3 linked regions of the Pelodiscus sinensis genome follow. The protein of the gene in region 1 interacts with the protein of each later gene in a biochemical or structural test. Links are inferred from orthologs where the notes say so. Each region holds a gene or a part of one and is shown in the gene's direction. Other genes may lie near its edges.

Evidence for each region.
Region 2: the proteins of DLAT (region 1) and PDHB form a complex in vitro, tested with the Homo sapiens proteins (2 studies listed by BioGRID and IntAct, with this or other methods). The link is inferred for Pelodiscus sinensis from reciprocal best matches to the Homo sapiens genes DLAT and PDHB.
Region 3: the proteins of DLAT (region 1) and PDK2 form a complex in vitro, tested with the Homo sapiens proteins (2 studies listed by BioGRID). The link is inferred for Pelodiscus sinensis from reciprocal best matches to the Homo sapiens genes DLAT and PDK2.

The regions. Positions count from the first base shown.
Region 1 is NC_134736.1:6,916,970-6,920,716, forward strand, and holds the start of DLAT (dihydrolipoyllysine-residue acetyltransferase component of pyruvate dehydrogenase complex, mitochondrial), read left to right. Parts: upstream 1-1,247; 5' UTR 1,248-1,326; coding exon 1,327-1,566; intron 1,567-2,159; coding exon 2,160-2,261; intron 2,262-3,276; coding exon 3,277-3,401; intron 3,402-3,511; coding exon 3,512-3,668; intron 3,669-3,747.
Region 2 is NC_134721.1:460,986-464,732, reverse strand, and holds the start of PDHB (pyruvate dehydrogenase E1 component subunit beta, mitochondrial), read left to right. Parts: upstream 1-867; 5' UTR 868-1,016; coding exon 1,017-1,070; intron 1,071-1,150; coding exon 1,151-1,260; intron 1,261-1,612; coding exon 1,613-1,625; intron 1,626-1,698; coding exon 1,699-1,806; intron 1,807-1,890; coding exon 1,891-1,953; intron 1,954-2,033; coding exon 2,034-2,069; intron 2,070-2,215; coding exon 2,216-2,501; intron 2,502-3,474; coding exon 3,475-3,585; intron 3,586-3,747. UniProt on the Homo sapiens protein: The pyruvate dehydrogenase complex catalyzes the overall conversion of pyruvate to acetyl-CoA and CO(2), and thereby links the glycolytic pathway to the tricarboxylic cycle.
Region 3 is NC_134739.1:15,279,309-15,283,055, forward strand, and holds the start of PDK2 (pyruvate dehydrogenase kinase, isozyme 2), read left to right. Parts: upstream 1-858; 5' UTR 859-911; coding exon 912-1,017; intron 1,018-3,747. UniProt on the Homo sapiens protein: Kinase that plays a key role in the regulation of glucose and fatty acid metabolism and homeostasis via phosphorylation of the pyruvate dehydrogenase subunits PDHA1 and PDHA2.

The DNA.
Region 1 (3,747 bases):
AATAAGGGGAGTTATTTCAAAATAACTCCCCAGCGGAGACATGCCCTAAGGGTAGCTGAAGGATTGGAACATTTAACCAACGGGGAAACTGAGGCAGAGACACCCTGAATAATAAAAATTAAGACCTTGATGCTAAAACCTGTGCTTGAGACCAACCTGGCACTATTTCTGAAGTTGGTGGCCTGCTGCTGGGGGCCTAAGCAGAACAGACGTACAGGTTTGATTGTGCTCTAAAGCCAACTTCCCAGCTAGGGAACAACCTCATGTTCCTCACCTGGCAAGTGATGACAAAACCTGACTTTTATATCTCACAACTCCCTCCCTCCTAGGGCATTCTGCGGGTCTGCATGAGTTTAAACTCAACCATGTTCATAGTATGTGTAGCATTTTTCCTTCATCAGTACATACAAGAATCACAGCATCTGCCTGTGAGTCATAAAACAAGCATCATAAAAGGAGCTACATTCCCCACAGGGGCAGCACGGTGGTGACCAGGGAGGGACTTGGTTGACAGCTGCAGAAGGATGCACTGAATCAGCACATCTGGGTTCAGTATTTAGCTTCCTGTAACCTTTCACCTTCCCAGTGCCCAACTGCGGAGCGGTCTTGGCACCAATGGGAGTGAATAGAACAGAAGAGACCCCCCAAGTGTCTGTGATTTTTCCCTACTCCTACCCTGCATCAGATCCTTTGTTCTATCCTATGCCCCCCATCTCTGTGCTGTCTTTTATCCAGTTATTCCCCCAAACTGCACCTCCACCCCCGCTATAACCCCCCCAGACTCCACAGACCCTACTGATCCCCCATCTTCTCCCCACCTTGCCACCAAAACCCTTTGCTCCCAGCCCCCCTCCACCTCCCTCCAGCCCTCCTTCCACCCTCCTACTCCCTCCCCCCAACCCCCTACTCCTCCCTCCACCCCCCTTCTCCCAGTCCCCCTCCAACTCCCTCCCCCCAACCCCCTCACTCCACCCCCTTCTCCCAGCCCCCCTCCACCTCTCCTACTCCCTCCCCCCAACCCCCTACTCCTCCCTCCACCCCCCTTCTCCCAGTCCCCCTCCAACTCCCTCCCCCCAACCCCCTCACTCCACCCCCCTGCTCCCAGCCCCCCTCCACCTCTCCTACTCCTCCCTCCACCCCCTCCCTGCCTGCCCCCAGCTCCTCCCTCCACCCCTCTCACTCCCCAGGACGCTGGCACGGGGAGGGCCTCTGCGCTTTGCGGCTCCTCGCGACACTGTCGCTGCCGTAAAGCGCGGTGGGCGCCCGGAGTCGGAGGGGAGCGAGGTCATTGCCGGAGCTGCCGGCGGGTCCCGGCTCCGCTGCAGCATGTGGCGCGTGATCGCGCGGCGCCTGGCCCCGTGCGCGGCCCCGCGGCGGGTGCCTGGCGGGGCGGGAGCGAGCCCGGGCCGGGGGGCCCGCGCCCTGAGCGGGGGCAGCCTGGGGCCCGCGCGGGGCCGGAGCAGCCTGGAACCGGGGCCCGGGCCCGCGGGGCTGCTGCTGCCGCCGAGGGAGCCCTGGCCCCGCCCCGCCCCCCGGCGGTGGTGCAGCCTCCCGCCCCACCAGAAGGTGAGGGGCCGGGACTCGAACCCCCGGGGCTGTGGGGGCCGCTCCCAGCCTCCCCCGGCCGGGGTCACCCCCTTGCTCCCCCCCCCCGCTGGGCTCGTGTCCTCCGCGACCCTGCGGCTGCTCCCTGAACCCCCACTGCACCCCCCCACTGAAACGTCCCCCCCACCCCACAGACTCGCCCGCCAGGCCTTGGAGCAGGGTCCGACTCTTCCTAGGCCCCCCAACCAGCAGGGCGTGACCCCGATCACCCTAGAAGCCGCTTGCTGAGAGCCCAGTAATCTGCCCTCGCTGAGAATGGATCTCCCGATACTGGGATTTGCCCTTGTCCCCCTGCCTTGCACCGCGTCATTAGCTGCCCTTTAGCGCTCAAGGGGATGAGTGCGGCGAGTCTGTCCCAGTTATGAGGCATATTGGGAAGAAGGGCTCTGAATAAATATTGTTGCATTAGCTTTATGGTTACTTTATGGTTGACACCTTGATTGTTTCTGGATACGAGAGCATGAACTGGCCTCTCACCTTTCTTGGTGGAAGGTTGTTTCAGGGCTGCTTGTAAAACATGGTAATTTTACTGTGACTGGGTTGTTCTTTTGCAGGTGGCTTTGCCGTCTCTTTCCCCTACAATGCAGATGGGGACTATCGCTCGGTGGGAGAAGAAGGAAGGGGAAAAGATCAGCGAGGGAGATCTGATTGCAGAGGTACTGTGGAGAGGTTACTCGCGACCAGGAGGACCAGTTATGGGACACCAAGCAGTGTTCCCTGTAAGCTGTGCACTTGTGCAGCTGCTCAGGAGAGATTCCAGTACTTCCCAGCTGATTAGCAGAGTGCCCACAGTTAGGTTTTTTGTTTCTACTGGTGGTGCACATTTCCACATATCGTGGTGTACATAAACTTTATTCCACATATTGATAGAAAAATTCCGCACGTGGATGGAAAAGCTTTAAGGGAACATTGGCACCAAGGGACAGTTCTTGTGGATGAGATCTCCCTTAGGGCCTCTCACTTTCTGGTGGGATGGGAAGCTACACCATCACTAGAGGACAAGACACGCTATCATTTCTAAAATTGCCCCCATACTAAGTACATGCCCCGGATTTTGTCTCAGGTCACCCCAAGCAGATGTAAATGTTCTGACTTCATCCTTACTTCTTATCTCTGATTCAGCATTGTAAGTTTGGCTCCCACCTCTCATCAGCCCATAATGCCAGCTTCTAGTAGCCAATTGTTAAATTTTCAAACAAGCACCTTATATAAAACAAGTTATACGTATACAAAACCCAAAGAGAGTCCTCACCCCAGACACCTGTGTTGGGAAAGGAAGGACTCTCTAGGTTTTTTTATATATATATGGCACCTGGCACAGTGGGGTTTTGATCAATGTCTGGGGCACCTAGGTACAATGAAATACAAATAATAAAAATATTCTTCTGAAGCCTTTTTATTGAAGGAATTAAAAACAGCCACAACCCCACTGCCTCTCCGCGTTGCCTGCTGTTTCTACCTCCTTATGAGAGCGATTGAACCTTATTTGCTCTACAGTGTCTTTTCCTTTTCAACCAAGTTGCTGCTGCCAGATGAGCTAATTCTCACCATGGCTTTATGCACCAGGAATCTTCACCTCTAACCCACAAACATCAAACTTCATGATTCTGAGCTGATGTGAAGGCTCCCCCCGCCCCTGCCCCATTACAAGATCATTCTCTTTCTGCAAAGGTGGAAACGGACAAAGCGACGGTGGGGTTTGAGAGTATGGAAGAATGTTACTTGGCCAAGATCCTGGTATCAGAAGGGACAAGGGATGTTCCCATTGGGTCTGTAATATGCATCACAGTTGAAAAGTAAGTGGATTGATCACATCTCACTAGAATACTGTTTTGGGAACCTGGCAGGCTGGGTGCTCTTGATGAAGAATTTTTTTCTGTATTATCTTCTTTCATTCCTGTTCTAGGCCTGAGTTTATTGATGCCTTTAAGAATTTTACCTTGGATTCCATAGCATCTGCTGTCCCAGCAGCCTCAGTGCCTCCCCCTCCAGCAGCAGCTCCCCCAACACCAGCTCAGCCTTCTGTGCAGGCTCCAGGAAGCTCTTACCCTCCTCACATGCAGGTAAAGCATATCCATATCCTCAGTGAATTATTCCTTAACATTTGTCGGTGTCTCTTCTGCCTCTCTAAAACTGTTATAT
Region 2 (3,747 bases), on another chromosome or scaffold:
AAAAAAGTACAATCTCTTCTGAGCTTTGTCTCGTTTTGATGTTACAGGTGGGTGAAGAGTAAGTGGTGGGCAGATCATAGAAGAGTGTTACCAGCCTTGATTTTTCCAGTCTGACCTCTGCTTCAGATACACAGATTTAACTCCATTTCCATGGATCTATCCCAGCTCATTAACTCGCAGATAGACACAAGGAGTTCTGAGGCCTTCATGGTTACATCACATGGAGACACCATACCAGTGAAGCAGCACAGGCACTTTGACACAGAAAACACAGCCTGGCTGTGCAGAGGATAGTCCCAGGGGGAGCCACAAGTCTCCAGGTGCTGCCTGGAAACCCCATTCATGTGGGTTCATGCTAGCATTGTGACTTCACAGCATGACATTACACCCAAACACTGTGACACAACACAACAGCAGAACTGTGAAGGGGGTGTGGTGTCCCACGGCCTCTTTTTCAGCCTGCCTTCCCTACCATAACTAGAGGCTCATAATGTGAGCAGATTTGGGCCGATTTTCACAGGCACGTCCCCCAAACTACAGCAACCACCTGCTAAGTTTCAGACCCCTGCACCAAGGAACCGGATGCATGAGACCTATTAACCAAAAAAAAAAAAAGACTCAAGACTTGTGGCCAAGAATAACAACTGCAGCCCAGCTTCGTGCGTGCACCGACCTGGCTGAAACCCCCCAAACCAGCGGGAAAGGTCGGATAGTAGCAGCTGCAGACCTGGAATGCTGCCCTCCAGAAAGGCAAAGTTGTAAAGGATGGCGCCCCCTGCTAGTTTTGGTCCATGCGCGTCGCCGTACTCGCAGGGCAGGCGGACGTTCGGCCCGCGGCTTCGCAGAACGCGCTCAATCCACTGAGGGGCGGCAGCGAGGCAAGGACAGCCCTTCGGCCCCTCTCGCGAGAGCGGCGGGCGGCTCCGCCCCCGTGTGCGGGTGGGCCCAGCTGCGATTGGACAGCCCGGGCGTTGCGTAGTGACGTACGGGCCCGGCCGGCAGAGGGCAGAGGCAAGATGGCGGCGGCCGCAGGAGCGCTGAGGGGACTAGTGCGACGGGCGCCGCAGCAGGTAGGGTCGGCCTGGCCCCCCTCCCCTCCCCTCCCCTCCCCTCGCTGCTCGGCGCTCACGCGCGTCCCGTCTCTCCGCAGGGCCCGGGCCGCCTGCTGCAGCTGCGGAGCGGGATCCACGGCTCCGCGCCGGCCGCCGTGCAGGTAACGGGCCGCGGGCAGGGCGGTGGGGCGGGGCCGGGAGGCGCGCGGCGCTCAGCGCGTGCCCTGCGCCCAGGTGACGGCTCGTGGGGCCAGGCGGGGCCGGGAGGCGCGCGGCGCTCAGCGCGTGCCCTGTGCCCCAGGTGAGGGCTCGCGGGGCAAGGCGGGGGCGGGGCTGGGAGGCGCGCGGCGCTCAGCGCGTGCCCTGTGCTGCAGGTGAGGGCTCGCGGGGCAGGGCGGGGCCGCTCAGCGCGTGCCCTGTGCCCCAGGTGACGGCTCGTGGGGCCAGGCGGGGGCGGGGCTGGGAGGCGCGCGGCGCTCAGCGTGTGCCCTGTGCCGCAGGTGAGGGCTCGCGGGGCAGGGCGGGGGCGGGGCTGGGAGGCGCGCGGCGCTCAGCGCGTGCCCTGTGCCGCAGGTGAGGGCTCGCGGGGCAAGGCGGGGGTGGGGCTGGGAGGCGCGCGGCGCTCAGCGGGTGCCCTGTGCCACAGGTGACGGTGCGCGACGCGCTGAACCAGGCGCTGGACGAGGAGCTGGAGCGGGACGAGCGCGTGTTCCTGCTGGGCGAGGAGGTGGCGCAGTACGACGGCGCGTACAAGGTGAGCGGGCTCCGGCTCCCCCCCCCCCCCCCGCCAGCTGGGGAGCGCGCGCTTAGCCGCCCGTTTTTGCTTTGCTTCTCGTAGATCAGCCGCGGTCTCTGGAAGAAGTACGGGGACAAGAGAGTGATGGACACGCCCATATCCGAGGTACCGTGCCAGTGAGTGTCCTCATCCCCTTGTCCGGGGCTGGCAGTCATACTCATCCCTCCTTGCTTTTTCCTTTGCAGATGGGCTTTACAGGAATTGCGGTAGGCGCTGCCATGGTAAGTCCTTTCTGGTGTTGAAGTCTGATCAGTTTTTTCTTGGCTTAATTAATTTCACAGAAAAACTGTTAAATGCAGACACTTTTACTGTTTGTTACTAGTGAATTAAATGCTTAACTACTAACATAGCTGTCTTAATTTAACAGGCTGGGTTGAGGCCGATCTGTGAATTCATGACCTTCAACTTCTCCATGCAAGCAATTGATCAAGTTATAAATTCTGCTAGTAAGACACTTTACATGTCTGCAGGCATGGTGCCTGTCCCGGTTGTCTTCAGAGGTCCCAATGGTGCCTCTGCTGGAGTAGGAGCACAACACTCTCAATGCTTTGCTGCTTGGTATGGGCATTGTCCTGGACTGAAAGTAGTCAGTCCTTGGAGTTCAGAGGATGCTAAAGGCCTACTAAAAGCATCAGTCCGGGATGACAATCCAGGTGAATGTAACTTTTTAATAAATACTGTGGTCTTATTGCATCTACATTCATAGAGCTGAAAAGTCAAAGTTATTTTACCCATTAGCCACAACAATGAACTTGGGAATTTTAAGGGGTACTCTGCTTCATGCAGTGGCTTTAATGGTTGCACATGTGATTATGCACATTTTACTTGGTGGTGATTCTCCTTAGAAGAAGTAGGTGCTGTGCAATGTCTTGTTTGGTACCACAACTTTGACTTTGCTTTTTCTTTTATATGTAATAGAAATGTACCTTGCACTTGGAGCAGAAAGTGGCAAGGCTTGTGATAGACTTTTGTTCCTGGTGGAGTTCCTTCCACTCTGTTGGACTGACCCCCTGAGAAGGTTGTGTCTCCTAAATAGATGAGCTTCAGTATTACTGAGAGTTTTTATACCAAAGTCCTTTTCAAAAATCTTTACAAGTCATTTTGACTTTTATGGAGACTTCATGAACTTCAAGGGAGAAATCTTGCATAAACTCCTGACTTTACTTCCTCTTGTTAATATTCAATTTAGAGCAAGAGGAGGGGGGTCTGGATGTTTTGTTTTTGTAATAGGAGCCAGGTAGAACATGCTGTATTGCCTTAAGGACCTCATCCTTTTGATCCTTCCCCACACCAATAATAGGACTGACTGGTGTTGGATCACCAAATATTAATTGCTTAACATGGTAAAATTAACCTTAACAAGATCATTCGGGTAAACTTGTAAAACAGTGCTGAGCTACTAGCTGCTCAAGTTAATCATCTTTTTCACGCGGATACAAATGTGCTAACCTATGGTTTTATTGTTTGCCTTGTGAGCCACGAGGAGCTTTGTATAGCGGTGCCCTCTAACACACTAGGAATTGGGGAAGGGGAAAGAGTAGGGTAGGGAGGAGAGGTCGGATGATGTTGTAATAATACTTTCATCTGGAGAAGTGCATCAAAATAAGCACTCAATGCTTTTTTCAGTTGTGATGCTGGAAAATGAATTGATGTATGGAGTCCCTTTTGAAATGTCAGAAGAAGCTCAGTCAAAGGACTTCCTTGTTCCTATTGGAAAAGCCAAAATAGAAAGACCAGGTAAGTTCAGAATACTCTTACCATATCATATAATCTGATTTTTTTTTTTTTAGGTTCTCCTGGTCTGTTGGGTAACTTTAATTGAATAATATATTTCATACAAAACGCTCCCTATGGAATAGGAAAATATTTAAAGGGACAGAACTGTAAAGTTGAGTTTGT
Region 3 (3,747 bases), on another chromosome or scaffold:
GAAACACAGATGTGCGCGCACCCAGACACACACACCCAGACACACACACACAGACACACACACCCAGACACACACACACAGACACACACAGACACACGCAGACACACACACAGATGCACACACACAGACAGACACACGCACACAGATACACACACACACACAGACATACACACACAGATACACACAGACACACACACACACCCAGACAGATACACGCACCCAGACACACACACAGACACACACACACACACACACACCCAGACACACACACAGACAGACACACGCACCCAGACACACACACACAGACACACACACACACACCCAGACAGATACACGCACCCAGACACACACACAGACACACACACACACACACACACACACACCCAGACACACACACACAGACAGATACACGCACCCAGACACACACACACAGACACACACACACACCCAGACCCAGACAGACACACACACACACACACACACGGACAGATACACGCACCCAGACACACACACACACACCCAGACCCAGACAGACACACACACACACACACACACCCAGACAGATACACACACACACACACACACCCAGACACACACACCCAGACAGATACACGCACCCAGACCCACACACACACACACACACACACACACCCAGACCCACACACACACACACACACACACACACACACACACGGACAGTCAGGCTGGGGGGAGGCTGCTCCGGACGCCCCGAGATCAGGGCCCTTCCCCGCTACGGCCGCGGGGAGCAAGGGGCGGGGCGGGCAGGCAGCGTGAGGGGCGGGGCTAAGGGAGGGGGCGGGGCGGGCGCGGGGCACGTGGGCCGGCGCGCTGCCATTGGCGGGGCGGGGCCGGGGGCGGGGCGAGCTGTCAGTCGGTGGGAGCGCGGCGCGATGCGGCTGCTGCGGGCGCTGCTGGGGCGCGCGGCGCGGGCCTACATCGATCGCTTCAGCAAGTTCTCGCCCTCGCCGCTCTCCATCCAGCAGTTCCTGGACTTCGGTACGCCCCGCCCCCCGCCGCGGGACCGCCCCGCCCCCCGCCGCGGGACCGCCCCCCGCTCTGCGCCCCGCCCCGGGACCGCCCCGCCCCCCGCCGCGGGACCGCCCCCCGCTCTGCGCCCCGCCCCCCGCCGCGGGACCGCCCCGCCCCCCGCCCTGCGCCCCGCCCCCCGCCGCGGGACCGCCCCGCCCCCCGCCCTGCGCCCCGCCCCCCGCCGCGGGACCGCCCCGCCCCCCGCTCTGCGCCCCGCCCCCCGCCGCGGGACCGCCCCGCCCCCCGCCGCGGGACCGCCCCGCCCCCCGCCCTGCGCCCCGCCCCCCGCCGCGGGACCGCCCCGCCCCCCGCCCTGCGCCCCGCCCCCCGCCGCGGGACCGCCCCGCCCCCCGCTCTGCGCCCCGCCCCCCGCTCTCCGCCCCGCCCCTCGGGTATGTGCCCCCAACCCCACCCCCAGGTAACGACGCCCCTTAACTCCACTAATCGCCCCGCCTGCCCCCTCTCCATATCTGCCCCCACCCCCAAGAAAATACCCCAGGGCCCCGCCCCCAGCCGGGTAGCCCCGAAGGGCCCGTGGGGTGGGTGGGCCTGTCGAGTGGCCCGACTGGGGTCTGAGTCCTGGGGGCTCAGACAGGTGGGGCAGGCTGCCCCCTGGGTAAGGGGTCGGGGCTGGGGGGCGGCTCTTGCGGGAGGTGGATGAGCCCCCCCGACTCAGTGGGTCGGGGCTGGGGGGCGGCTCTTTCGGGAGGTGGATGAGCCCCCGACTCAGTGGGTCGGGGCTGGGGGGCGGCTCTTGCGGGAGGTGGATGAGCCCCCCGACTCAGTGGGTTGGGGCTGGGGGGAGGCTCTTTCGGGAGGTGGATGAGCCCCCGACTCAGTGGGTCGGGGCTGGGGGGCGGCTCTTGCGGGAGGTGGATGAGCCCCCCCGACTCAGTGGGTCGGGGCTGGGGGGCGGCTCTTGCGGGAGGTGGATGAGCCCCCGACTCAGTGGGTCGGGGCTGGGGGGCGGCTCTTGTGGGAGGTGGATGAGCCCCCCGACTCAGTGGGTCGGGGCTGGGGGGCGGCTCTTGCGGGAGGTGGATGAGCCCCCGACTCAGTGGGTCGGGGCTGGGGGGCGGCTCTTGCGGGAGGTGGATGAGCCCCCCCGACTCAGTGGGTCGGGGCTGGGGGGCGGCTCTTGCGGGAGGTGGATGAGCCCCCCCGACTCAGTGGGTCGGGGCTGGGGGGTGGCTCTTGCGGGAGGTGGATGAGCCCCCCCGACTCAGTGGGTCGGGGCTGGGGGGCGGCTCTTGCGGGAGCACATCCCTTTGGGATGGGGGTAGAACGCCCCCCTCTCCCGGGCACTTCCCAGCCTGCTAGCTAGAATGGGGCTCCTGGGCCCTGTTCCTGGCCCTGCTGCTGACTCCCTTCTCAGCTCCGTGCCTCAATTTCCCCCACCATTGCATGGGGTTAGTGAGACTGAGCGTGTGCTGGCAGTGGGGGCGTGCTCATACTGTGTCCAGTGCCCTTTGTCGCCTCTTAGAACCATTCACGGCTCCTGCAGCCTGGAGGCGGCTCCCAGCCCCCCACCACTAAGTGTCCCTGGTGCCCATTTCGCTCGACTTCTCTTTTGGGCAGCAATGGAAGCAGAAGGCCCCGGCCGTGCCTGGCTGGCTCGCGCTGCATGGCCGCCTGCCGACGCATGCTGCGCGGTGTGCACGCTCCTCTCCTTCCCGGCCGGTCTCACTGCAGCGGCACCCGGTGCCCGCGGAACAGGCTGTGCCGGTGGTCAGCTGGGAACGTGCCGTGGCTCGGGTTACGGCTGCACGGTTGGGTGCACAGCTGTGGCCTTGTTTACCAGCCTCCCACCTGTCTCCTTAGAGCCCTCTGCTCTGACTCTGATCATCGCGCCCTATTGTTTTCCTCCTCCAGACCCGCCTGGAGATTGGGGCCCATGGCCCTGACCTTGACCGGCCAGGGGGCGGTTTTGTTGGCTGGGTTCCTTGCAGAACGTGGAGCTGCTGCCAGTGTTGGGACAGATCTCTCGCAAGCAGGCTGTGCTGTATTTAGCCAAGGACAGGACGTCAGAGCTCAGGAACGCACAGCGACGCTTCTGCACTGCGTGTGCGGAATGCTGCACGTACCACGTGTGCCAGGCGCTGCTCTCTGGGGTCACCTCTGTGCTGCCCCAGCCCTGTAGCGCTAGCGCACCTAGCCCCCGCGGCAGACACCTGCCCTACCTGCCGGCAGTTTCCCTCTCGTCTCCCCCATCCAGGTGCAGATGGGGGATGCGACCAGGGAGCCAGGTCAGTGGTGCTTACTGGGGACTGTAACCTCTGTCTGGCAGCAGCTCACAGCGGGCGGAGGGCTGGTGCAGTCCTGTGGGGTCAGGAGCCAGCTGCCCCAGGTGGGGAGAGGGGGCGGCACCAGCAGCAGAGCTTTGTGTGGGGTGGGTGCTGGGAACAGAAGCCGGCCCCACTTCGGGGGAGTGGGATCCCGCTTCATCAGTTAACTGGTTAAACCGTAGGCTTCGCCGGTTAATTGATTTGATTCCACATCCCTAGTGCATGTTTGCCATCTGTGGACAGGATGCGCACGGGGGCATGTGCACGTGCACCGCCAGCAGCAATGAAAACCCGGCCGAGCGCCCACAGCTAAGCAACTGGGCGGCGTTTGAACCTCTCTTGAGCGGCCGCACAAGCGCCCAGCTTACGGGGAACGCTGCCGTCTGATGGTACCTCTGGCCTGCCGCGAGTA